Arabidopsis thaliana: one gene and its partners. The protein of the gene in region 3 interacts with the protein of the main gene of each other region in a pairwise test. Each region holds a gene or a part of one and is shown on either strand. Other genes may lie near its edges.

Evidence for each region.
Region 1: the proteins of AT3G56900 (region 3) and CSY3 interact in a two-hybrid assay, tested with the Arabidopsis thaliana proteins (one large-scale study listed by BioGRID).
Region 2: the proteins of AT3G56900 (region 3) and AT2G41710 interact in binary tests that used the Arabidopsis thaliana proteins (3 or more experiments, as listed by UniProt).
Region 4: the proteins of AT3G56900 (region 3) and FTSZ2-2 interact in a two-hybrid assay, tested with the Arabidopsis thaliana proteins (one large-scale study listed by BioGRID).

Annotation. Positions count from the first base shown.
Region 1 is NC_003071.7:17,802,301-17,807,831, forward strand, and holds CSY3 (citrate synthase 3), read right to left. Parts: upstream 3,774-5,531; 5' UTR 3,692-3,773; coding exon 3,461-3,691; intron 3,372-3,460; coding exon 3,191-3,371; intron 3,089-3,190; coding exon 3,003-3,088; intron 2,796-3,002; coding exon 2,691-2,795; intron 2,575-2,690; coding exon 2,512-2,574; intron 2,392-2,511; coding exon 2,282-2,391; exon of another isoform or gene 2,131-2,281; coding exon 2,011-2,130; intron 1,940-2,010; coding exon 1,864-1,939; intron 1,770-1,863; coding exon 1,696-1,769; intron 1,607-1,695; coding exon 1,486-1,606; intron 1,371-1,485; coding exon 1,273-1,370; intron 1,192-1,272; coding exon 1,068-1,191; intron 973-1,067; coding exon 832-972; 3' UTR 541-831; downstream 1-540. Other genes in the region: AT2G42780 (transcription elongation factor B polypeptide), read left to right, coding at 1-91, 181-346. UniProt on the Arabidopsis thaliana protein: Peroxisomal citrate synthase required for the fatty acid respiration in seedlings, citrate being exported from peroxisomes into mitochondria during respiration of triacylglycerol (TAG).
Region 2 is NC_003071.7:17,399,749-17,404,757, forward strand, and holds AT2G41710 (Integrase-type DNA-binding superfamily protein), read right to left. Parts: upstream 3,303-5,009; 5' UTR 3,156-3,302; coding exon 2,929-3,155; exon of another isoform or gene 2,869-2,928; coding exon of another isoform or gene 2,795-2,868; exon of another isoform or gene 2,707-2,794; coding exon of another isoform or gene 2,676-2,706; exon of another isoform or gene 2,616-2,675; intron 2,589-2,615; coding exon 2,506-2,588; intron 2,360-2,505; coding exon 2,351-2,359; intron 2,262-2,350; coding exon 2,173-2,261; intron 1,993-2,172; coding exon 1,919-1,992; intron 1,854-1,918; coding exon of another isoform or gene 1,839-1,853; coding exon 1,788-1,838; exon of another isoform or gene 1,442-1,787; coding exon 1,380-1,441; intron 1,297-1,379; coding exon 512-1,296; downstream 1-511. Other genes in the region: AT2G41705 (camphor resistance CrcB family protein), read left to right, coding at 1-162; EMB2654 (Tetratricopeptide repeat (TPR)-like superfamily protein), read right to left, coding at 3,996-4,060, 4,157-4,277, 4,385-4,489, 4,606-4,738, 4,835-5,009.
Region 3 is NC_003074.8:21,064,129-21,069,998, reverse strand, and holds AT3G56900 (Transducin/WD40 repeat-like superfamily protein), read right to left. Parts: upstream 3,878-5,870; 5' UTR 3,670-3,877; coding exon 3,612-3,669; intron 3,530-3,611; coding exon 3,474-3,529; intron 3,351-3,473; coding exon 3,186-3,350; intron 2,989-3,185; coding exon 2,874-2,988; intron 2,791-2,873; coding exon 2,691-2,790; intron 2,590-2,690; coding exon 2,410-2,589; intron 2,180-2,409; coding exon 2,121-2,179; intron 1,955-2,120; coding exon 1,867-1,954; intron 1,778-1,866; coding exon 1,696-1,777; intron 1,480-1,695; coding exon 1,380-1,479; intron 1,291-1,379; coding exon 1,239-1,290; intron 1,147-1,238; coding exon 1,009-1,146; intron 904-1,008; coding exon 816-903; intron 719-815; coding exon 656-718; 3' UTR 516-655; downstream 1-515. Other genes in the region: PSRP5 (plastid-specific 50S ribosomal protein 5), read left to right, coding at 92-441; AT3G56891 (Heavy metal transport/detoxification superfamily protein), read left to right, coding at 5,077-5,124, 5,226-5,301, 5,424-5,800.
Region 4 is NC_003074.8:19,549,159-19,554,939, reverse strand, and holds FTSZ2-2 (Tubulin/FtsZ family protein), read left to right. Parts: upstream 1-1,838; 5' UTR 1,839-2,048; intron 2,049-2,067; exon of another isoform or gene 2,068-2,374; intron 2,375-2,456; 5' UTR 2,457-2,504; coding exon 2,505-3,125; intron 3,126-3,492; coding exon 3,493-3,792; intron 3,793-3,882; coding exon 3,883-3,973; coding exon of another isoform or gene 3,974-4,014; exon of another isoform or gene 4,015-4,309; intron 4,310-4,350; coding exon 4,351-4,475; intron 4,476-4,623; coding exon 4,624-4,716; intron 4,717-4,801; coding exon 4,802-4,867; intron 4,868-4,973; coding exon 4,974-5,099; 3' UTR 5,100-5,279; downstream 5,280-5,781. Other genes in the region: AT3G52760 (Integral membrane Yip1 family protein), read left to right, coding at 235-1,008. UniProt on the Arabidopsis thaliana protein: Exhibits GTPase activity. Component of the plastid division machinery that forms a contractile ring at the division site.

The DNA of each region.
Region 1 (5,531 bases), on a different chromosome or scaffold from region 3:
CTGCGAATTCGCCTTCAACTTCAAGAAGCATTCCTTATGGTGGACGAAATCTTACTGAAACTAAAAAGAACACGATTCAGAAGAGTTTCAGGTAACATGTCCTCAGTATCTATATATCTATATGGATCCACTTCTTTATCCCCCAAACTTGATCGGTTTGACGGATCATGTCTTGTATAGTATATCTGCTCCAAAGAGGACTGGCTTATCCGCTAATGCGCCTTCAACTTCAAGAAGCGTTCCTTCTGGTGGACAAAAGCTACCTCCAAGGAGGATCAACGGCCTTCCTGGGACTGCTCCTTCAACTTCAAAAAATGCAGCCACCAGACAAAAACATGTAATGTAACTTATATAGCTTTTTTACAGATCATTTTTTCTTCGAGTGTATCATTTACATGGCTACTTCAAGTTTCAAGAACTCCGAGTTTTGAAACTCTGGCTTGATGATATCCTAGTTTGTAACAATAGATCTTCAAAAGTTTTTACAATGATTTAATAAAGTGCTTTGTTTTCTACTTGTTGCTTTGGCCGAGATATTTCACAACAAACGTCTCTGCAGAAGCATTCGATATAGAAATTAGAGTAATAATCCATAACCATAAATCATTTTATACAATAAACACGTTCTGATAAGAAGACAAACAAGGCGGACAAACACCCTTAGAAGATGGATTGAAGCAAATATAGATCAAGTCTATATTGTGCCTACAAAATGAGAAATCTAAGTTTCGAGTATGATCAAGTATCTTAGCTTTAGGCTAGAGAAACCAATCTCTTTTATTCTTTGCGGTGTGGTTTGATGTATAGTATGGACCCTAAAAGGGCCTACGTCTAAACTGAAGATCCAGCCAAACGTCTTCTTGATGCATTTGAAGTCGCGACTTGACCCAATTTGTCTGACTCTTTCGAGTCATCCGTCACTATTCTCTCTCTCACTGGTGTGTAATGCCTCAGCCACACGCCTGTGTACACCTGCAACATTTAATATTCCAATGAACCATCCAAGTTTCAAATTGATCCAAAGAAAAATCTTTCTCTTATTATTCTTGGAAAGAGATTAACTATACCTGTTGTGGTCTCATGATCTTGGTGTCAGGATCATCCAGTGACTCTTTCCAATGTGACAAGTATCCAGCCATGCGAGGAATCGCGAATAAGACCGTGAAGAACTCCGGTGGAAATCCCATTGCCCTGTTGTAATGGTCCAAGTTTGCAGATTTAGATGAAGTTGAGAGGAAGTTATGGATACTGCACATGCATTCAAACTTTTACCTGTATATTAATCCAGAGTAGAAGTCAACATTTGGATACAGCTTTCTCTTAACAAAGTAATCGTCAGAGAGAGCTGCCTTCTCAAGTGCAACAGCAACCTGCAGACATCAGAATCAAACACATTGGCTTTAAGGAAACATGAAAAATTACACTAAATCGAAAAGGTGGGCATCAAGTTGTAGTATAAGCTTGAACTTCGTGGACATAGCGTACCTCAATTAGAGGATCCTTTCCAACAATGGAAAATACTTCATCAGCCAGGTTCTTGATGACTTTAGCTCGAGGGTCATAGTTTTTGTACACACGGTGTCCAAAACCAGACATCTTCCTCTTCCTAAGATGTCAAAGGGATGAGAATTTTAATGAAAAGACTTGTCACAAACCTCGGAAACGGAAGCATATAGTTTCAAGAATTGATTTTACCTGTTCTTCACACCCTCAATGAACTCTGGAATATTTTCAACAGTCCCAATCTCTGACAACATCTTAAGCACAGCCTAATGGAACCAAAGACATGAATTTCAAAGACCATGGAGCATGAAAATACATCAGAAGATGTAACATATGAAGACATGAGAATAAATAGCATACCTCGTTTGCACCACCATGAAGTGGACCATAAAGCGCTCCCACAGCTCCAGCAACAGCAGTGTAGACATCAACACCGCTACAAGAAGACATTTCCTAATCAATATATCTCCTATCAAGGTCACTAAGATTCCAACCAAAGATAAGTACCTAGAGGCAAGATGCCGAGCAGCAGCGGTGGAGCAGTTCATTTCATGCTCTGCATGCAGTATGAAGAGGATGTCCAACACCCGAGCCAGCCGAGGATTAGGTTTGTAGGATCTATTTCCCCTGTAAGAAGTGTGTTAATGGCACGCTACAAGTTATGTACACAGTAAAAAAATAACTAGGCTTCAAGTTCTCTGAAGCGTCAAGATCTAAAACTAAATCTAAAAGTTGAGTTTCTAACTAATTCAAGAAGAAAGAGATAGCAGAGACATACAGGGAATCAAGCATATAGAGGAAATTATCTGCATAAGGAAGGTTTCCTGAAGGAAGAACAGGAGGCCTTCCTGCCATCCTCAGATAAGCAGCTGCTGCAATTGTTGGTGCCTGCACAAATCGCAAACACGTTTAGTTGCATCAGATCTTCATGAAATTCAGAGTCCAAATATGTTTATGCGTGACACAATATAGGAAGAAGTAAGGTAACCACTGATAACAAAAAAATACCTTTCCAATAATGCGGATAATTTGTTTATCTCTAACTTGTTTTGAATCGTAAATATCCTGGCCCTGCACCCAATAGAGTATCAGTCAACATGTTTATACGGACAATTTCAAAAGAGCTAAAACTAGCGAGTGACAAGGCCTGACATGTTGTTAGAGAAGTAATATAAGGTTAAACCTACCCTAAGAGCAGGATTAGCATCAGGATGAAAGATGGAAAGCGCACTCATTGCACTCACAAGAACTCCCATTGGGTGTGCATCATGAGGCATAGACTGTATAATATCCTGCACAAAAGTTATCAAGTAAGTGGAGTTAGATATGAGAAATATATAGCTTTGAGTACAGCACACAATCCTCAGAACAACATGTATAGAACAGTCTTGACAAATTATTGTTCGACCAGACAAGAAAATAGGCTACTAGTAAAGAACAGGCTAACTCCATTTTACAAATCGAAATTGAAATCCATCAACCAAGGATTAGAGACTCACTAATACACCTTGTGGCACAGCTGAATGCTGAGAAACTGCAAACTCCCAATCAGATAGCTGACTTTCAGAGGGCAGATTCCCATACACTGCCAGAAAATATAGTAAAGGAGAAAACTTTTCATCAATGTCCAATTCGATACACATAACACTTGAAATTGTGTAGTAAGGTTAAAAGGTAAAACACTTACTGAGAAGATAAGCCACCTCCAGAAAAGTACTGTTCTCAGCCATTTCCTCAATTGGGTAGCCACGGTAACGAAGGATCCCTTCATCTCCATCGATGTAAGAAATCGAAGATCGAACAGGAGCCGTGTTCAAGTAACCTGGATCGTATAACTTAAGCCCCTTGTCTTCCTTCCCCGTCACTATCTGCAAGCCAAACAACACGCAACAAAGCAAATTCTCAGCTCAAAATCCCACAGTGATAGGAAAATGGTCATTTAGAAAAAGGGTTAAACCTTTTTGAAATCAACGGCTTTAACGGTACCATCATCTGAGACCGGAACTTTATAATTTTTTCCGGTGCGTTCGTCGACGATCGTCAGTGTTCCCTTCAAAGATCCAAGCGGTGCGACACTCGTATCCGCCGACGTGCACCATCGCTCGATCGCTGGAGAATCCTGTTTTCCTTCCGATAAATGACCTGAGAGAACAGCTAATCGAGCTCGAACTCTCTCTGATATCTCCATTCAACCAAAATCAAAATTCAAAGAAGGAGAGAAGAAGAAGAAAGGGAGCGAAGAAATTATTAGAAACCATTCTTACTCTTCGTTAATATAACACGTGTCTTATCCCCTGCGGTCAGGAGTATTGAACAGTATCCACGTGTATGCGATCTAACGGATATCTTGATATCCAACGGCGTAAGCCTTATTGACCCAACTTGGACTAACGGTGATGATCTTCTCCATCTCTAAGCTGTCAGAATTATGTGGGACCCACTTATCAGTATTATCTAGTTAGTCAATTGCTTTCCTCGATTTGCTAAATATCAATTCGATTGCTACGCAATGCTGAATGGGCCGAATTGTCTTAATATGGGCTTCTGTATATTCATCTTTAGGCCCAACAGTATACCACTTTTTATTTGGGCCTTTTTTGTTGATACGGCTCGCTTTACCATCGGAACCAACCCAACATTCATTTTTCGAACTATGACTGAAATCTTATTAAAAAAATGAATGTAAAGCTAAATATGGATGTTGCGTTCAAAATAAAACTCATGAGTTTATGGATGTTCTTCATAAATTATAGTTATCATTAATCAAAAGATGGAAAATACAAACGGTTATTTACTCTTTAATGTTAGTGTACGAGGCTATTAATCTTATAAGTTGTATTTATGTATTATATTATGGAGAATGAATAGGTCTAATTACGTTTTAAAAAAAAAGCATGGAGGAAATGAGAGTGAAAGGTATAATAAATGACATGTTAAAAGCGACGGGTCGTATATTTTGATTCGTACCTAAAAATAGAATTCTAAGTTTACCCCACGTGAGGCTCTGAATCTGAGAGTGATAGATTTTTCTTTCCCTCCTTCCGTTTTCAACACATGATGACATGAACAAGGAACTGTTCCTTTTTTTTTTCTTTAAACATTATCTGCAACGGTGATCACTCACTCAATGATATCTTTCATTTATAACTTCACACGTCTATAAATTAAATTTGTTCATAGGATCTACAATAACACAATTAACATCACTTGTGTTTTTAAGTTATTCAAGCAGAGGCATAGTAATTGATAAAAATAGACAACAAGAAAGCATTTGAAACAAAATTACTGTTGTAAACAAAGCTTTTTCACGGTAATGGAATTCCGAAATAAAAATATATAAAAAAGAAAGTGACAGAGGAAATGTGTGAGAGAGGCAAAGGAAATGCAATATTTGCAGGAAGAAAAAAAGCATGAGAAAAAAGTAGGTGTGGATTTAGACACATGACTGACAAATTATATTTTTCTAGTTTCTCCTCTATATGGTGGTTTCTGCGTTTATCATGTTTAAATATATTTAAACCTTTCATTAGTCACATCACATCCCAAAAATGTGTACGATAATAAAAAGATTGTTTATATACCAAAATTAATTGGTTTACTCAATCATCTTTTTAATTTTGGTCATTTGATACGATCAATCATAGGGTGTCCTAACGTTAAGTTCGATGACGCTGCTACCTCTTTTGAGCGTACCATTCAGGGTCCTACTCGGCTACTCCTACATAATGAATTTAGCAAATAGCAGTTTAAAAACAAATTACGTTAGTTGATTAAGATAAATAAATTAGCTTAACACAAATTTGAAATGGTTAGTTGAAACTCAATTAACATTAATTTTTCTAGGTCTTCAATTTAGTTGCATGGTTAGACTTGAATCAGGTTGTGTCGTTTTATCAGACTCACTGCAAACTCTTTGTCCAAACTGCTCCCTTATTTTTGTTTATTACACTCTATGTATGTAAATTTTATAACAGATTTACTAGAAATTTAATTCTTACCCAATAGAAAACAAAAACGTCGTTTCATTT
Region 2 (5,009 bases), on a different chromosome or scaffold from region 3:
TGTCTGAGCACAGTTTCGACCTTCATGGCTGAGTTCAATGCGATGAGAGAAAGTGATTACCCATGGAGAGCCTATGCGTATGCATCTTTTACCATTGTGGTTTCTTTTGCGATTGGAACTATTATATACTCAGTCCCTGTCTGGGTAATAGGATTCAGTTAGTTGTATCAAAGCTAGATAAGTCTTGTGCAGATGATGTGATAATACATAGTCGTAACATTTGGTAGAGATGAATAATTAGATCGGTCACAATCAAATTATATTATACCTTGTGCAGAAATATTAAGAGCAAACTTCTATACTATAATGATAACTTTTTTCTGTTTTACACAAAATATCATGATTCTATATTCCACACTGGAAAAAAAAAAACACAACCACTAACAAAACCTGTACATTCCTGCTTCAGACCATTGTCACACTTTTCCCAACTTTTTCTCCATAAAAGAGACAAAGAGATGTCAAGTCGACGAATTCATCTCAAAAAAGGAGAATCTGACATACATAAAGTCTAAAGGGAACGGCTCATTTCTCTTGTGGGAGGTAGCTGTACGTGGAACAGCTGGTCTCTGTCTTTGTCACCTGCAGAAGAAAGAGAGCCAAAGAAAATGACATAAGGAAGATGTGTTGTAGTAACCTCTGAAGTCTCTGGTTCTATAGATATATGACTACGAACCTCTGAAGTAAGAGAGGATCCTGAAGGAAGAAATGGTGTCCAGAGAATAGGGTCTGCAAGAGGATCCAATGTATTGTAGTTGGTGAGCAATGGAGCCGTTAAGAGAGAGGTAAGTGGGTACATGCTTTTCTGAAGAGACAAAGCAGCAGCACCGCCTAAAGCAACTCCATGACTCACAACTGGTTTCTCTATTGCCTTGCCGTTATTCTTCTCCATATTGATGATGTTACGGTTTGCATTCTCATCGTTTTCATTATTGCAGCTTTCTTGGATCTTCAACACTTTCTCCTCTAGGCTCTTGAAGGCAGGCGACTGAGACAAGATGCTTAAAGCAGAAGAGCTTGATGGTGATGATATTTCTTTTTCTTTTCTCTGAGTTCCACAAAGGACGCCAAGGTTTGGCGCCTTGTATGGTTCTGTTGCATGGGATGTGTGTTCCAGTGTTTTAAGCTCAGTACCAGCATCTTCGACGTTTGCATCCTCTGATGCTTTTGATGAAGATTCTGGTTGACGGTTCTTGTTGGCTCCCCACCACTTTATGTATCCTGTTAGATCAATCTTTCTTTCCAGACAAAAGCTACCTAGAAAGTCACCTTCTGTTCCACGATCATCACCTGCCCCTGTTAATAATGACAATGAGTTTTGAATAGTCTGATGCAAGCAAACATTTGTTTCAATTAGGTCAATATTGTTAGCAACTCACCGTAATGAATGTTACTGAAGTATTCAGGTCCAGGCATACGACTGGCTGATGCGTCCCATCGGCTGGTCGGGAAGTGCAGAATAGATGGAAAGACAGCAGAAATGCATATCAGGTATGAATGTTAATTGTGAGAAAGAAGGTTAAAAAGACAAAACTAAAGAGGGCTACAGCCAAAACAGTGAAGATAGTTTTGCCATATCCCTATTCTTAAGAGTAGCATATAGACTTTTCTATGAAATTAACTAGTAGCATATCCACCATATGTCAATTAATCAAAACCGTGATGATCCACAATGTGTCACTAAAGAATCTTCCTTATAGGCAATTACACAAAGATGATCACTCTTGATTCCATAGTTTTTCAGACAAAACAGAGAAATGAGAACTCAATTGCTGGTCCAGTTTTACCTTTGAAGTCCACGATATTTCGCTATTCCCCTAGAGAAACCGCTGCTTTTTCTGCCAAAGGGATATCTAAAGAGTATCAGCAATAAATGGTTCTTAAAAGAAAACTATAGTGCTTTTAAATACATACGCACCTACGTAAAGATGCAAGGTATTCTTCCCTTGAGAGATTTTGCATTTCTTCTAAATCCCTGGTATAATCAGTCACCTACGAGAATGAAATACGTAAATGCATGTAGCTAAAAACAGTGAAACTTGAGAAGGGTGGCTCCAAAACACTTCTAACCATCCTTACTCCACTTATGCATATATATTGACCATGAAAATTATTAAGGAAACCACACGGTTGAAGAGTAACTTAGAAAGCATACTACGGTAGCAATCTCACCGGAAAATTTATAAGTGTCCCAGGACCCCAATATTTTAAGGCAGCAAGGTCGTAAGCTCTAGCAGCAGCCTCTTCATCATCATATGCTCCTGTCAAGTAAGAGTTGGGTTCTTCAGTGAAAAATTATCCAATTTGATATACAAGAATATAATCAACACATATAAAGCTTTTAGCTTACCTAGATAAACTGGTGTGGCGAAATTCCGTCACCCATGAAAATATATAGGAAACAGAAAAGATCAGCTTTGATACTCCAAACAAGAGAAAACTTATTGCAAATGACAACAGCAATTTTATCAGATGCAGAGAGAAAAAAAAAAGAAGAAGAGGAACCTTGTTTTCCCTTCTTGTTCTGGTTTTGGTTCCAGGTACTCTTATCCCAAAGGTGAGCTTCATAACGACCTGTCCATCTATGTCTGTACTCAACACAAATACGACAAACAAAACGCATCAACATCTCCAACTGCTATGGAACAAAAACCTCATACAGATGCTAAGCACACCTACTCATTTCTTCTAGTTTGAGCCTAGACACTATAAAATCTGACATTAGGTGAAAATTAGTGTGTTTTAGAACAGTTTACAGATTCCAGATAATTTAGCTCCACACAAGATCCCTAACCAAAGTGCATATCCACCAATCCAAACATTCCATACTCTAATACAGATAACACAACTCCCAATTCACAACCAAACCTATACTCCAATCTCCTCCGCATCATAAACCGACAATCCCGATTTGAAAAGTCACAGTACCTGGTGACTCCCCGGTATATGGAACTCCTTTTCCCAGCAGTGCACGGAGGCATTTTACTAATACGCTCCTTAGCTGTACAACCTCTCTCCTTCTTCGCCTTCTTAAAACCTCTATACAACAACATCTGATCACTCGCCGCCACTGTCTCCGAGCTCTCTCCTCCTCCTCCGCCGCTACATCCTGCTTCTGTCTTAGGTCCTTGATCCGACGACGACACCGACGCCATGATCGGAACCTTCTTCCCACCAACCAAACCCTAGACGCACTATGGCTAAGCAAAACGGAGCTTCTTGATACAGTAGAAGTAAAGAGAGAGAAAAAGAGAGTGAGAGCTGAGAAAATTCAACTTTGACTCTTTCCTTTTTCACCGAATACAATGATTTTGATTTTTGAGTCTTTTCTAGTAATCTAAACAACGGCAAAATAAAATTACGGACTTAATTTACCATTACGTCCCAATTTTGTTTTTCCTTTTTCAACGAAGCGAAAGATAATAACTGCAACGGCTATGTACGGAGACGAGGGTGCTTTCGTCATTAGTAGAATAGGTTTATATGCTGACGTGTACTAATTATGTCCACGTGTACGTGATCTGTTTCTGGATTCTGACATTTTAATGTGAAGTGTTTCCCAACTCTCGCCTCGTTCCAAGGAATATTCTTCCTATGGTACACTCACGATGTTGTTGTTTTGTTTATCAAACTAAGCTTAATAATTTTCGGAATATTTTAAATTCGGATTTTCTTTCCTACCATTTGATTCTTCATATTGCTACCGTTGTAATGACTTACACATCGAATCATTCCATTTAAAAATCATAATTCAAACTTTTTGAAATGATTGGTTGAATTGAATGTCTTGTATCAGTTTATCTATTATCTGCACATACAAGCTGGATCCTATAGCAATTCAATATGTAACTCTAGCCAACAATCTACGTTTATTTTCAATACTAAAATGATTTCGTTTTCTGAATTGAATTATCATATTATCGATAGAGGAGATTACAAGTTACAAACATCATATGCATAATCACTGGGCCAAAAATACAAGCATATAGTGGAAATTACAACAATGTGCCTTCGTGTCTAAAAGTTGGAATCAGACCTTCTCCTTTGTTTCTCAGTGATTCTATGGAATAACCAACAAAAAATGAAATGTGAGACACCAAAAAGATCGAAAATCATGTGACAGAATCATTTATTTTGCATTCCTCTCTCATCTCACCCAATTTTTGGCGTATTAGAGGCTCGAACTCGATCCCTGCACTTCTTTCACCAAAGGAGATTATGTCACGATACATTTGGTTCGAGGGTTGAATACCAGCACCACTCATCCATTCTAAAACCTGCAAATCATTCACACAAAAGTCAAATTTTATTTCTCAACCGCAAAACTTGCTTGGTCATTGCTAATTGAAATTCATTTGGCAAGAGACAAACAAAAAAGTATTACCTCAATGTATTTTCTCCAGTTTCCAACAGCTAAAAGATGTTCCAACAGTATTGCATAAGTCTTGAGGTTGATTCCAACACCAGAGGCAATAATCTTATAGAACAGCTGCGTGTGTTTAGTGGTACAACATGGTTTCGTTAACATTCTTTTGTAAACAGGTTGGCAGAAAAGAAAGATAATGTGGAAGTCTAATTAGCTGATCAACTAAAAGTTCGTTGTACCTTCATCATTGCTTCAACTTTACCACTCTTCCCGAAAAGATGCAGCATCTGATTAGTTAACCCGATAGAAAGCGATGGCAGGTACGGATCCATCATTTGGATGAGGTCTATTGCTCTTTTCCATTCCTGCAAGCTGCAATGTTGAAAGAAGAAGGGTGATATATTGCTCTTTCTGTAATTCGAGCAAGTATTTTACTGTAATGTTTTAAATAGACATACAAGAACTTACGTGTTACAAGCCGAAAATATCTCAAAGAAGACCGCACCAGTGAAGGGGATTTCTTTTTCCCGCATTAAATCCATCAGGACAAAGACATTTGACGGTTGACCTCCCTTGTTGAAAGCTCTCATCAAAGCTGAACAAGCAATCGAATCTGGCTCTATTCCATTTGCCTCCATTTCCA
Region 3 (5,870 bases):
GTTTTAGGGCAGTCAGGTTTTAAGCTTAAAGATCGAAGCATTTAATCGAACACTTGGTTTACTTGTAATGCTCTAATCTTTTGTGTTTCAGTTTTGAGCCTTAAACCCAACGCTGTCGAGTCCAAGAACAGAGTCTCTCTCAGTGCTTACAGCTTGAACTCTAGCCATGGAAGAATTGTGGTGAAGGCGGCTGCTTCTGGCGTGGACGGGGCTGAGCCTGAGAGCAAGGAGGAACCAAAGACTGTTGTTGCTGCTGTTCCAGTGGATAAACTACCGTTGGAATCGAAAGAAGCTAAAGAGAAACTGCTCTTGGAATTGAGGCTGAAGATGAAGCTGGCCAAAAAGATTAGGCTACGCAGGAAACGTCTGGTTCGTAAGCGTAAGATGAGGAAGAAGGGTCGATGGCCACCTTCCAAGATGAAGAAAAACAAGAATGTCTAAGTGACTCAACTGTTTGCTGCTTTTCGTATTCGTTTTTTGTAATGTTCTTTTTGGTGTTCAAAGACCATTAATGTACTTCAAATGCAACCATTGTTTTTGGATTTAACTTCAAAGCTGAGTTCTTTAAAGAAACCATTTGTATACAAAGAGTGAGCAGTCTACAAAATAGAACCAAAAAGTTTGAAACTTGCATTAAATTTGAACCATTTGGCTATTAAGGAAGAACATGTGAGCGGAAGATGAGAGGATAGGTGCAACAGAATCCGGTGCTCCAACACTGCAACAAGGTTTATTTGGAAGATTAATTAACTAACCGATTCTACCTGTATGAATACTTTGGCATGAAAAGAGACTTAATCAAGCATATGCCTTACCACAGAAAGGAGTGGACCTTGCTTGAACTTGTCATGGAATGAAAAGGAGAGAGCTTTCGGGTTTTCTCCAGGTCCTCTGATGAAACCGCTGTAATCATAAAAGCATCAGATTTTGTCTATCCATTTAGACAATGCAAAGATATACAAAAGGAGGTCAAGTCCGATGGAATGGATAACAGTAAGAGTTACTTACACTAGTGATGCTGATACAATAGGTGTCCTTCGTGTGTCGTAGATGGCAATCAATCCTTTGTAATTTTCATCGCCTCCTTTGTACGACACAGCCAATCGTTCTCCAGATGCATCCCATGCTATCTTCTCGATGCCCTCACTGGTTATTTCAGTTATGAAAGACAATATCAAGAAGTGATTAACGGAAGGCCTTTGCAAGGGTTTATTGAACAAAACAATCAAATAATTTACCAGCCAGTTAGAGAAGCAATCTCTGGCAATTCAACTGGTAATAGATGGGCATCTGAAAGTAAACCAAAACAGAGATTTAGTGTGCTAACTGGTAAGTATTTCTAGTAGTATAGGCAAAACGACTTCAAAGTTTCTGCATACCCAAGGATGGTGGCTTGGATGAGAAATGAACAGAGCCCAGTGTTGAAGATTTCGAAAACGAAATCAAGATAAACCGTCCTTCGGGATCCCATATCGCTCCCTATCATAGAAGGGAGTATAGTATTATTGCTTGGTCCATTTACGAAGATGGAACACAGTTGCAATTTCATACATAAAAGAAGGAAATGAATGCTTTAGTACAATGGAGTCATGTACATAAGCTATGCATACCACACTAGTGACGTTAACCTCTCCAACAAAACGCTTTTAACAATACTCTATTGCATATCTCACTATTATAGGCTCACGATCTTACCGTGACAGATCCAGATCCACTAGACAAAGACCAGGGTTCAGATGTCCATGTGTTTGTTTCCCAAAGACAAAAAGTCCCATCACTGTGACAGAAAAACATTTTATTAGCAATCATATCAAACAGGAAGCTACTTTCCACATCTGTAAAAAAGAAAGAGAGTTGATGTCCTACAATCTTGCTGCAAAGAAGTAGTCTCCTGTAGGTGACCATTTAAGCATTGATATTCCACCTAGTCCCCGTCTAATAGGTGTCCCTGCCCCTGGAAGATGTATACATATCACTTTCAGAAACAAGGAATTGCAAGATGCATTTTCTCATCTCAACGCAACAGATAGGATGTTAAATAAGAGGAAGCTGGATTAATGTTCAAACATTTGCATGATGTTGTGCATTAAGAAAGTGTTCTTAATTGTCGTTCTAGTTACCTTGAGAAACATCCCATATGGTGAAAGATGAACTGTCATATGAGGCTGATGCTAAATACGTGAAAATAGGTCAAGGAGTAACAGGATGGACAAAGTTAGGGATCCATGTGATGCAAAGACAGAAAAGATCGAACAAATCCAAATACTTTCCCAACAAATGCCTATCATGCGATGCGGCTTGATAAACAACTATGGTAATTGAAATGATCATGGAAACGTATGTAGTTAAGTAACAACTCCAAAATGAAGTTAAGCAAAACAGTTATAGCAGAAATTTTGTTTAGGATATCTTCCACAGGGGCTCCATGAGAGAGCACTAATTTGCTCATCATTTTGACACCGAAGAAAGTCCACCAAAATCCAACGAGTTCCAGATCCTCGAGAGAGACTTCCCCTCAATGCGGAACCACCAGATCTAACCAATGCCATGTTACCCGGATATGAAGCAGCCCATATGCATATTCCTCCCCTGTTTCAATGGAACAGTTATTACAGTAGAATCAAACTTAGTTATCTATGAAACTGGCTACTCTAGAAAGTAGACAGGATCAGAAGACCAATAATACACACCGACAGGCAATGGATAGGGATTTTCCACCATTTGGTCTCCACTCAAGGGCTTTAACATTTCTTTGTGAATCACTTGTCAAAATGCAAGGTTCTTTCTCATCTGTTCAAAAGAAGAATATGAAACTGTATGCACACACCGGCAAATGTGAACTAGGAATCCTGAATTGAATAAATAAAACAAACCTTTGTCCTCATAATCACGAATTGTAACTTGATTTGCACCGGATATAAAGGCAATAATATGCTTCCCTTGATGCCAACTCACTCCTTGAAGATCAATCTCTGAGAGTAGAGTTACCTAGAAAAGAAAAGGTGAGCAAGGCTGTGGCTTTATTAATAACAGCTATGATAATGCCATTTTGAAATTGCAAAGAACATCCCTCCTATCAATTCCCCTAGATACATAAAGATAAGTATTGTAACCATCAATCACAAAATGCTAAGCTTTCTTTAGTCAACCAAACAAAGAAACAGACTGATAGTTGAAACTCTTACATCGGTGGGTTGTAAAATCTGTTTAAGAGAGTCTGCAACCTTCATCTGCAGTGTTGCAACCAGTCCTTTACTCTCACCACTTGCCTTATCTCCATTCTCTTGTCCTTCATTTTCCTGAAGAGAGCTAGGAGTAGAGTCGAACGAAACAGGGCTAAACACCATTCCCTGTGATCAAACGCAAAACCCCCAAATCCGATGGAAATTTGTCAAAAAGAAAACATTTGCTACTTACAAATATGGTTTTTAAGCTTATAAGAAATCAGAAACGAAAGAGAAACGCCCACGTACAAGAACTTTTCCATAAGTCTCCTGAGCTCGCTCATCAGATAAGTTCTGAGCCGTAACTGCGCTACGAAAATCTAACCATTAGCTCAGAAGTTTCGAAATCCCTACATTTTTCAATGGAAGGGAAAAGCTTTAACATACTCAAGTCTCTGTTGATCTCGCAGACGGTGACGGAACCGGGATGAGGAAAAGATGCCATTGTCCCTTTTTTAAAGATGCAATTCAGATTGAAACAGTGACTTCGGTGTGCAAATTCGTAGCAGTTACTTATCTGCTCAAAGGTTTGATGAGACTCGAAATGACACGGTTAGTGTAGACTGTGGCCGGAGAACGGCGACTGATTTTCACCGGAAAAACGGAGAGAGAATTTGAGTTTAGGGGTTTTGATTTTGAACGATGATGTGTCTCAATATTCCGGCAGGTTGGGTGAGTAGTAAAAGACTATTTTATCCCCATTTGATCTTATTCCTGGACCGGGCCTTAACCGGACATAAACTTTTAAATAAATCATTAATCATCAAATCAAGGATGAATTAAGTTTAGAGCCGGACCGGACCGGTTTAGTCATCCTTGACGTTCCTAATCATTAATCTCTGTGTTATTTTAAGTCACAAAACTAAGAAAGAACCAAAATCTTTCTTTCAAGATATGGTTTTTGCTTATGTGCTTCTTCTCGGTAATTTACGTAACACAAATTAAAAAGGTTTCTCAATCTTTTTTTCTGCGAAATGTAACTTATAGAGTACACAAGTGATCAAGTTGCATCATAATGTGTTGTATTGCCCTTTTGATTTTGTTTTTATTGGTGGTAAAGCGAGTTATTTCGTTTACGTATTTAGTAGATTTCGAAACCTCACAAATTCAAATGATTTGGATTTCATTTTCTCTACTTGGAAATGCTATATATTCACATTTTGGCTATTCACACGACTTGCATGCATTCTATCAACATATATACATTAATAAGCTAATATGTGTCTGTAATTTTTGTATATATCCACTATTTGGTAGGCAGGAGATCTTGACTTTTGAATATGCGTATGCCACTTCGGTTCGGATTAATTGCCTGGAAATCAAAACTAATAAAATTTAGATTGGTCGGTCTTATAGTTTTCAATATCCAACGAAACTTTATTAAAAATAAAATAAAATCAATAATACATTTATTTATGTTGAATCTCGTCAAATTTCTTAACTCTACGGACAGAAAAAACGTTAAAACGATTGAGACAAGTTTCTGTATATGCTTCTACATCATTTTTAATTAATATAATTTTAAGCTAATCTCTTAATTCTTTGAAATACGCTAAAATTCATATATTATTTTGGTAAACCCTTACTCTAGTAATAAGACACAATAATTAAAACTCTGGCGACACCAAGACACAAGATATATAATGTAAGACTTAGGACATAAGCTTTTTGCATCTCACAAGACGCAAACGCGGTTTCTTGGAATCACACACCAAGTGTTCCTAATACGCGCAGTCATTTCCATTCCACCTATATAAATATATCTCATACACATACAACCAAAATATTATATTGAAAGCAAAAAGATCTTAAGACAAAACGTAAATTCTCGATCGACAAGATAATTAAGAGAATGTTTGATTGGATACATGGAAACTCTCGATTACCAATCGCTTTATCTGTACGTTGCCATCTATGTCTTTGTTCGTTGTTCTTTTTATTGATGGTTATCATCAAACGTTTTGTTCATTTTCTAATGTATATTTTCTTCTGTTGTTTAAGATTGTGGAGCTTTTGGTAGACATGGATTGTAAAGGATGTGAAAAGAAGGTTCGAAGAGCCATTTCTAAACTCGATGGTAAGAAAAATTCAGAAAAACAAAATCAAACATCGATTTTAGTCGTATCATTTAGCTTTCATAAATATATGTTTGGTCTTAAGGCAAATCTTGATTAACAGTATAATAATAAATATGTGTAGGAGTGGACACGGTAGAGATAGACGTGGATCGACAAAAAGTGACAGTCACGGGATACGTTGATCGAGAAGAGGTTCTAAAGATGGTGAAACGAACGGGACGAACAGCGGAATATTGGCCATTTCCTTACAATGGATATTATGGTGATTACTATACATATCCTTCTCAACATTTGGAACAATCGGATCAGAAGATATATCAGACAATCTCATATAGTGGAAAGTATGATTTCTATGACGTTGACGACTTTCAAAATACAAACAACTCTACTATCAATGGTTATTATCCTAGTTCATCCCAAAAAGTTCAACCTAATATCGATGAAAATGCTCTTCATCTTTTTAGCGATGATAATGCTCATGCTTGTACTATCATGTGATTTGTGTTATTAATTTTTGACGTTGGATTCTTTCATTCCTTTATTCATTTGTTCATTCTTAACCAAAACA
Region 4 (5,781 bases), 1.5 Mb from region 3:
GTGTAGCAAAGGCTGTTCAAAACTACAAACTAATGGGCTGATAAAGCCTTATACGGCCCAAAACATTATTAATTCACTTACCGAAAATGCCCTTATCACATATCACGAAGATACGAACACGAAGAATGCGTAGTAGTCGCCTGTTACTGGAATTATTTTCAATTTCTGAAATCAAATCCGATTGAGAGAAAACACTAACTTCAAATTCGAGATCTGAATTAGGGATTCTAGAGGATGACGAAGGATTTTCCAATTCCACCGGTTGTTTTCCCCACCAGTGGATCATCTCCGGCCACCGCAAATGTTCAGCAACGCCGAGTTCCCACAGCTCCTTACCAACCACCACGTCAATCCTCCGCTTCATCTTCAATCCCTTTCATTCCATTTGAAATCGGATCCGCCGCCGTTTCAATGCCGGCGGGACCATTCGACGGAACAATCGCTTCATCTGCATCTTTCGGTAGAGGAGTCTCTGCTTCGTTTGAGGATGAGGAGCCTTTACTCGACGAACTCGGTATCCATCCAGATCAAATCTGGAAGAAAACTAGATCGATTCTCAATCCTTTTCGAATCAATCAGACTGTTCACAAAGATTCAGATCTCTCTGGTCCGATCTTCTTATACCTTGCGCTTTGCTTATTTCAATTGCTCGCTGGGAAGATACAGTTTGGTGTTATACTTGGTTGGGTTGTTGTTTCTTCTATCTTCTTGTACATTGTCTTCAATATGCTTGCTGGTAGAAATGGGAATCTTAATCTTCATACTTGTACGAGTTTAGTTGGTTACTCTCTGCTTCCCGTTGTGATTTTGTCCGCGGTGTCCTTGTTTGTGCCACAAGGTGCTGGTCCCGTTCGGTTTGTGCTCGGTGCGGCTTTCGTGTTGTGGGCTACTAGAGCTTGTTCTAATCTGGTGGTGTCTCTTGCTGATGGAGGAGAAGAGCACCGTGGATTGATTTCGTACGCCTGTTTCTTAATCTATACTCTGTTTTCGCTTCTCGTTATCTTTTGATTCCTTGCTTTCGAATATTGATAGATTGTTGAACTTTCCGGTGCCATTACTGAGTAGCTTAATGTGATATCTTATAAGTGTTTGTGGTGAAATAGCTGAGACATTGTAAAGGTTTTTGATAACTTTAGAGGAAGTTGTTATTGATGTGGTTTAAGTAATTGAAGATGATGTTCTAAGATCTCTTACTATTGGAAATCTCGAAACGTTTATGCCATATACATCCTTTTGTGGTTCTGTTTGACAGTTTCTTGACATGAACTGTTCTTTGAATTAGATTTGGTGAGAGTATCAATTGCTCATTTTTAGCGTACATGTGTTGCAGTTGTAGTGTAGATTTTCCGAACGTAGAAGCGAGTCACTAAGATGTTTTGATTAAAGATCTTAGGTTGCTTCAACTACCAATGATAAATAAGTGACTGGGGAGAAGTGTGAATGGTTTAGCTTGAAATTGTTCTATAAGCGAGAAAGTAGTTGATCAGAAGATACACATGACGAGCTTTGGCCTGGCAATGGCATTGCATAAGATAGCGAAACTATCATACTTCGATTGTCTCAATCACAATTGATGCGTTCGAAACAAATCTAAACGCAAACAAACAATCTGAATTATAGAATTGTGGCTTGTTTACGTTCATCATCATTCATGGTTCCATGGACTTCACTGTTCTACATGAGCAAGCAAAAGACTCATAAAATTGTGCAAATTTTTCGTATGCTTATTATCCGGCTAAAGCCCAGAATTCGTTGTATGGGCTTTAAGACCAACATTATAGGCCCATTTATATTAAACATTTAATTTTCTTCATCACTCTCGTCGGCTAACGCTTTGTCTCTTTCACCAACTTATTTAACAGATGAATTTAGTAGCTGTAGTTGTTACTGAAACAGATAAAAATTAGGAGCAAAATCAAAATCATAATCCACTTTTATGTGATCGAGAAAGAGATTCTAAGCCCAGAAAACACCAAAACCTTCCATTTTCATTGGTTCCCATTTTTTTTTCTTTGTAGCTCGAATTCTCTGCTGCCACTACTCGTAAGGTACTCTTCGTCTTTTACATGTTAATGTACTTCTGCTACAATCTCTAAAACTGCTCCCTCTGGAAATTCTGTACTCAATCGTCGAAATGTCTTAGCTTTTTGTATTCGTCTACTGTTTTACAAATTTCTGGAATTCCCCATCTTCAATTTCGTTACTTTAGAACAGTACGATGTGCCAATTGTAGTTTTCTGATTCAAATTGATACTCCTCGGAAATTTATTAATTAAAGCATTGACTTTTCTTTGTAGTATCTTAGCTTCTAGTGTTGAACTTGATCCATATGCTGCTGATATGCAACTGGTTTCCAATTATAGTACTGTAGAATGTGAGTGCCACTTTTTTTTTTTTTTAATCTTCTTCTTGGTTCAGGACTTGACGTTGACCTCTTGTTCTTTCTCTTGAAGCAGTGAAATTGGAGTTTTTAATAGATCTTTGGTTGCTTCTGTAGTCTCAGAATGGCAGCTTATGTTTCTCCCTGTTTAACTCCTCCGGATTCTCGGGTACTCACTGTTCTTAGAAAGAGTGTGTTACCTGATCATCATCTAGGCACGAGGGTTGGTTGCTTAAGAATGAGTGAAGGTACTACTAAAAGATATCGTGTTGTTGCTTCTCATAAGTACGAGTCTTCGTCAATCAGAAACTCTTTGAATTCTCATAGTACAAGCCATTTCCAAAGCCAAGACTCTTTCTTGAATCTCCACCCTGAGATATCCATGCTCAACCCAAGAAAAGAAACTTCCAGTGTTCCCATTACTGAGGATTTGGATGAGTTATCTACTCCAAACACTTACAATGAGGCTAGGATTAAAGTTATCGGCGTTGGAGGTGGTGGTTCAAACGCTGTGAATCGTATGATTGAGAGTGAGATGATTGGTGTGGAGTTTTGGATTGTGAATACCGATATCCAAGCAATGAGAATATCTCCGGTTTTTCCAGACAATAGGTTACAAATTGGTAAGGAGTTGACTAGGGGTTTAGGTGCTGGAGGTAATCCAGAGATTGGGATGAATGCTGCTACAGAAAGCAAAGAAGCTATTCAAGAAGCACTTTATGGTTCAGATATGGTCTTTGTCACAGTATGTCTATAACTATTACTTTCACTTTTTCTTAGTAACAAACTTTTATTTATACTTATTTCTATATAAAGATATAGATTACAAATGAGAAGTTTTACGGGTCAGAATCGCCGTTTGCAATATCATGTTGGTTTTATTGAATTTTGGTGGGTTGCAGTTTCTCTTTGTGTTTACCAGTTTCTCTTTTATCTCCATCTGGTTAAAGCAGTGAGGTTTATGTCTTCGATCATAGAATACTTTCCTGTTTAAAGTACAACCAGTTATGGGTTATTGTGTGAATTTGCTGCCTCCATAGATTGACTGTAAGATTAGATCTTTAAGTTCAGTGCCTAAGCTTTTCTAGCCAAATGTCTTGTTATTTTTCTAGGCTGGAATGGGTGGTGGAACTGGCACAGGTGGTGCTCCTATAATTGCAGGGGTTGCAAAAGCGATGGGTATATTAACGGTTGGTATTGTGACAACGCCTTTCTCATTTGAGGGACGGAGAAGAGCACTCCAGGCTCAGGAAGGGATTGCAGCCCTCAGAGATAATGTTGACACCCTCATTGTTATTCCAAACGACAAGTTACTAGCAGCAGTCTCTCAGTCTACTCCAGTTACAGAAGCATTTAATCTGGCAGATGATATACTTCGTCAAGGTGTCCGTGGAATATCTGATATTATTACGGTATGGCTTTGAAAGTATTTATTCTCTAAGCTATGACATCCATGTTTATAGAAAATGTCTGACTGCAATATCGTTGTGTTTGCATTGCAGATTCCTGGATTGGTCAATGTGGATTTTGCTGATGTGAGGGCGATAATGGCAAATGCAGGTTCTTCATTGATGGGAATAGGAACTGCAACAGGTAAGAGTAGAGTGTTCTTTGGAATTGAACTATTTTATTGATAGGCTCTATCTGCTGCATCATTACGTATGTCGAAGGGGAATATTGGTTTAGAAGGCAGGTTAAAGAACCCTGTGACCAATATAGGCGACGCTTTATGCATATGTTTGTTAGCTAAAATGCTAAGTTTTCAATTTACTGAGAATTGGTACTACAGATGTAGCTGAGTAGATTAATTTGACTATAGATTTAGTACTCTTTAACCATGACAAAGGAATAATGTTTGGTCCACTGCAAGTTGGTATATTGAGGAAAATCCTAAACTTGAACTATTTTGGTGCTATGTTTTGGCTGCATCATCATGCTTAATCTTTCAAGCTATACTGTTATTTGAGCAGGAAAGACCCGAGCAAGAGATGCTGCATTAAACGCAATCCAATCCCCTTTATTAGATATTGGCATTGAGAGAGCCACTGGAATAGTTTGGAACATAACCGGTGGAAGTGACTTAACACTGTTCGAGGTTTTTTTTCCCTCTCTACGCTTTCAGACCATTTCCTGTCCTAGAAATCACTTGGTTTCTTCCCTAGACAATTCATAAAAGAACTTCAGTCCCATGTCATATATAACGTTGTGTGTCTCTATTTTGACTCTCGGGAAACGATTTGTAGGTAAATGCTGCTGCAGAAGTGATTTACGACCTCGTTGATCCAACAGCGAATCTTATATTTGGTGCTGTGGTAGATCCATCTTATAGTGGTCAAGTAAGTATTCTTCTTTCTTGGATTTTCTTCTAACATATAACCTATGAGATACCCAAATTGCTTAAACTTTTTTTCTTCCTGTCAGATAAGTATTACCCTGATAGCAACTGGCTTCAAACGCCAAGAAGAAGGAGAAGGGAGGCCACTTCAGGTATTCACTTGTCTCCCTTGACACACACACACAACATAGCCGATTCTTACATCAAATGTTAAAAGTCTTCGGTTGTAATCTCTCTTATTGCTACATGAAAATACAGGCGACACAAGCGGATGCATCAATGGGAGCCACAAGACGTCCTTCATCATCATTCACTGAAGGCAGCTCCATAGAGATCCCAGAGTTCTTAAAGAAGAAAGGGCGCTCTCGCTATCCTCGCCTCTAGACCCACTTTGATCACTCTACATGATATTGTTGAATGTAAGGAGAAAGAATGTTTGGTGCGGCTATGTAAATTGCCTCTATGGTGATATTCTATAATAGGTTGTTAGAAATTATTTTACTATATTACAAAAATAATGTTACTTGACAGATGATAAATCTTAGTCTCTGTCACTCTGTTTCCAGATTTTGCCTTTGGATAAATGGATAGAAAAACAACATCTAAGACAAATATATCCTATGATGAGACATTGTAAATGGTTTTGGTTATTTAAATCAAACATACGGGTGCACAAATTATTATTTTTACCACAAATTACACATAAATTTCGAAAGAAAGAAAGAAAAAAGGTATAATTAAACGATATTATTGCACATCGTGCAAATAAATTAGTCTCGATGATATTGTTACTAAAAAAACATTAAGGACTTGTGTTGAAAATTCAAAGCTGCTAGCAATCTCGAGGAGGAGGTGGTCTTGGAATGGGTTTGCAAGGCTTTTTATAGTTATGTCCCGGCGTATCTTCACCTCCTCCCTTTGGAGAATCTCCACATGGTGGGGAGGGTCTTACGCATATCTCAGGTTTACCTTTGTAGTTGCACACACATTAAAAAAAAAATTTAGAAGATTAACTTGTTGGTTGTAAATGGATGTAACATGTAAGAAAATACGAACTAATCAGTTT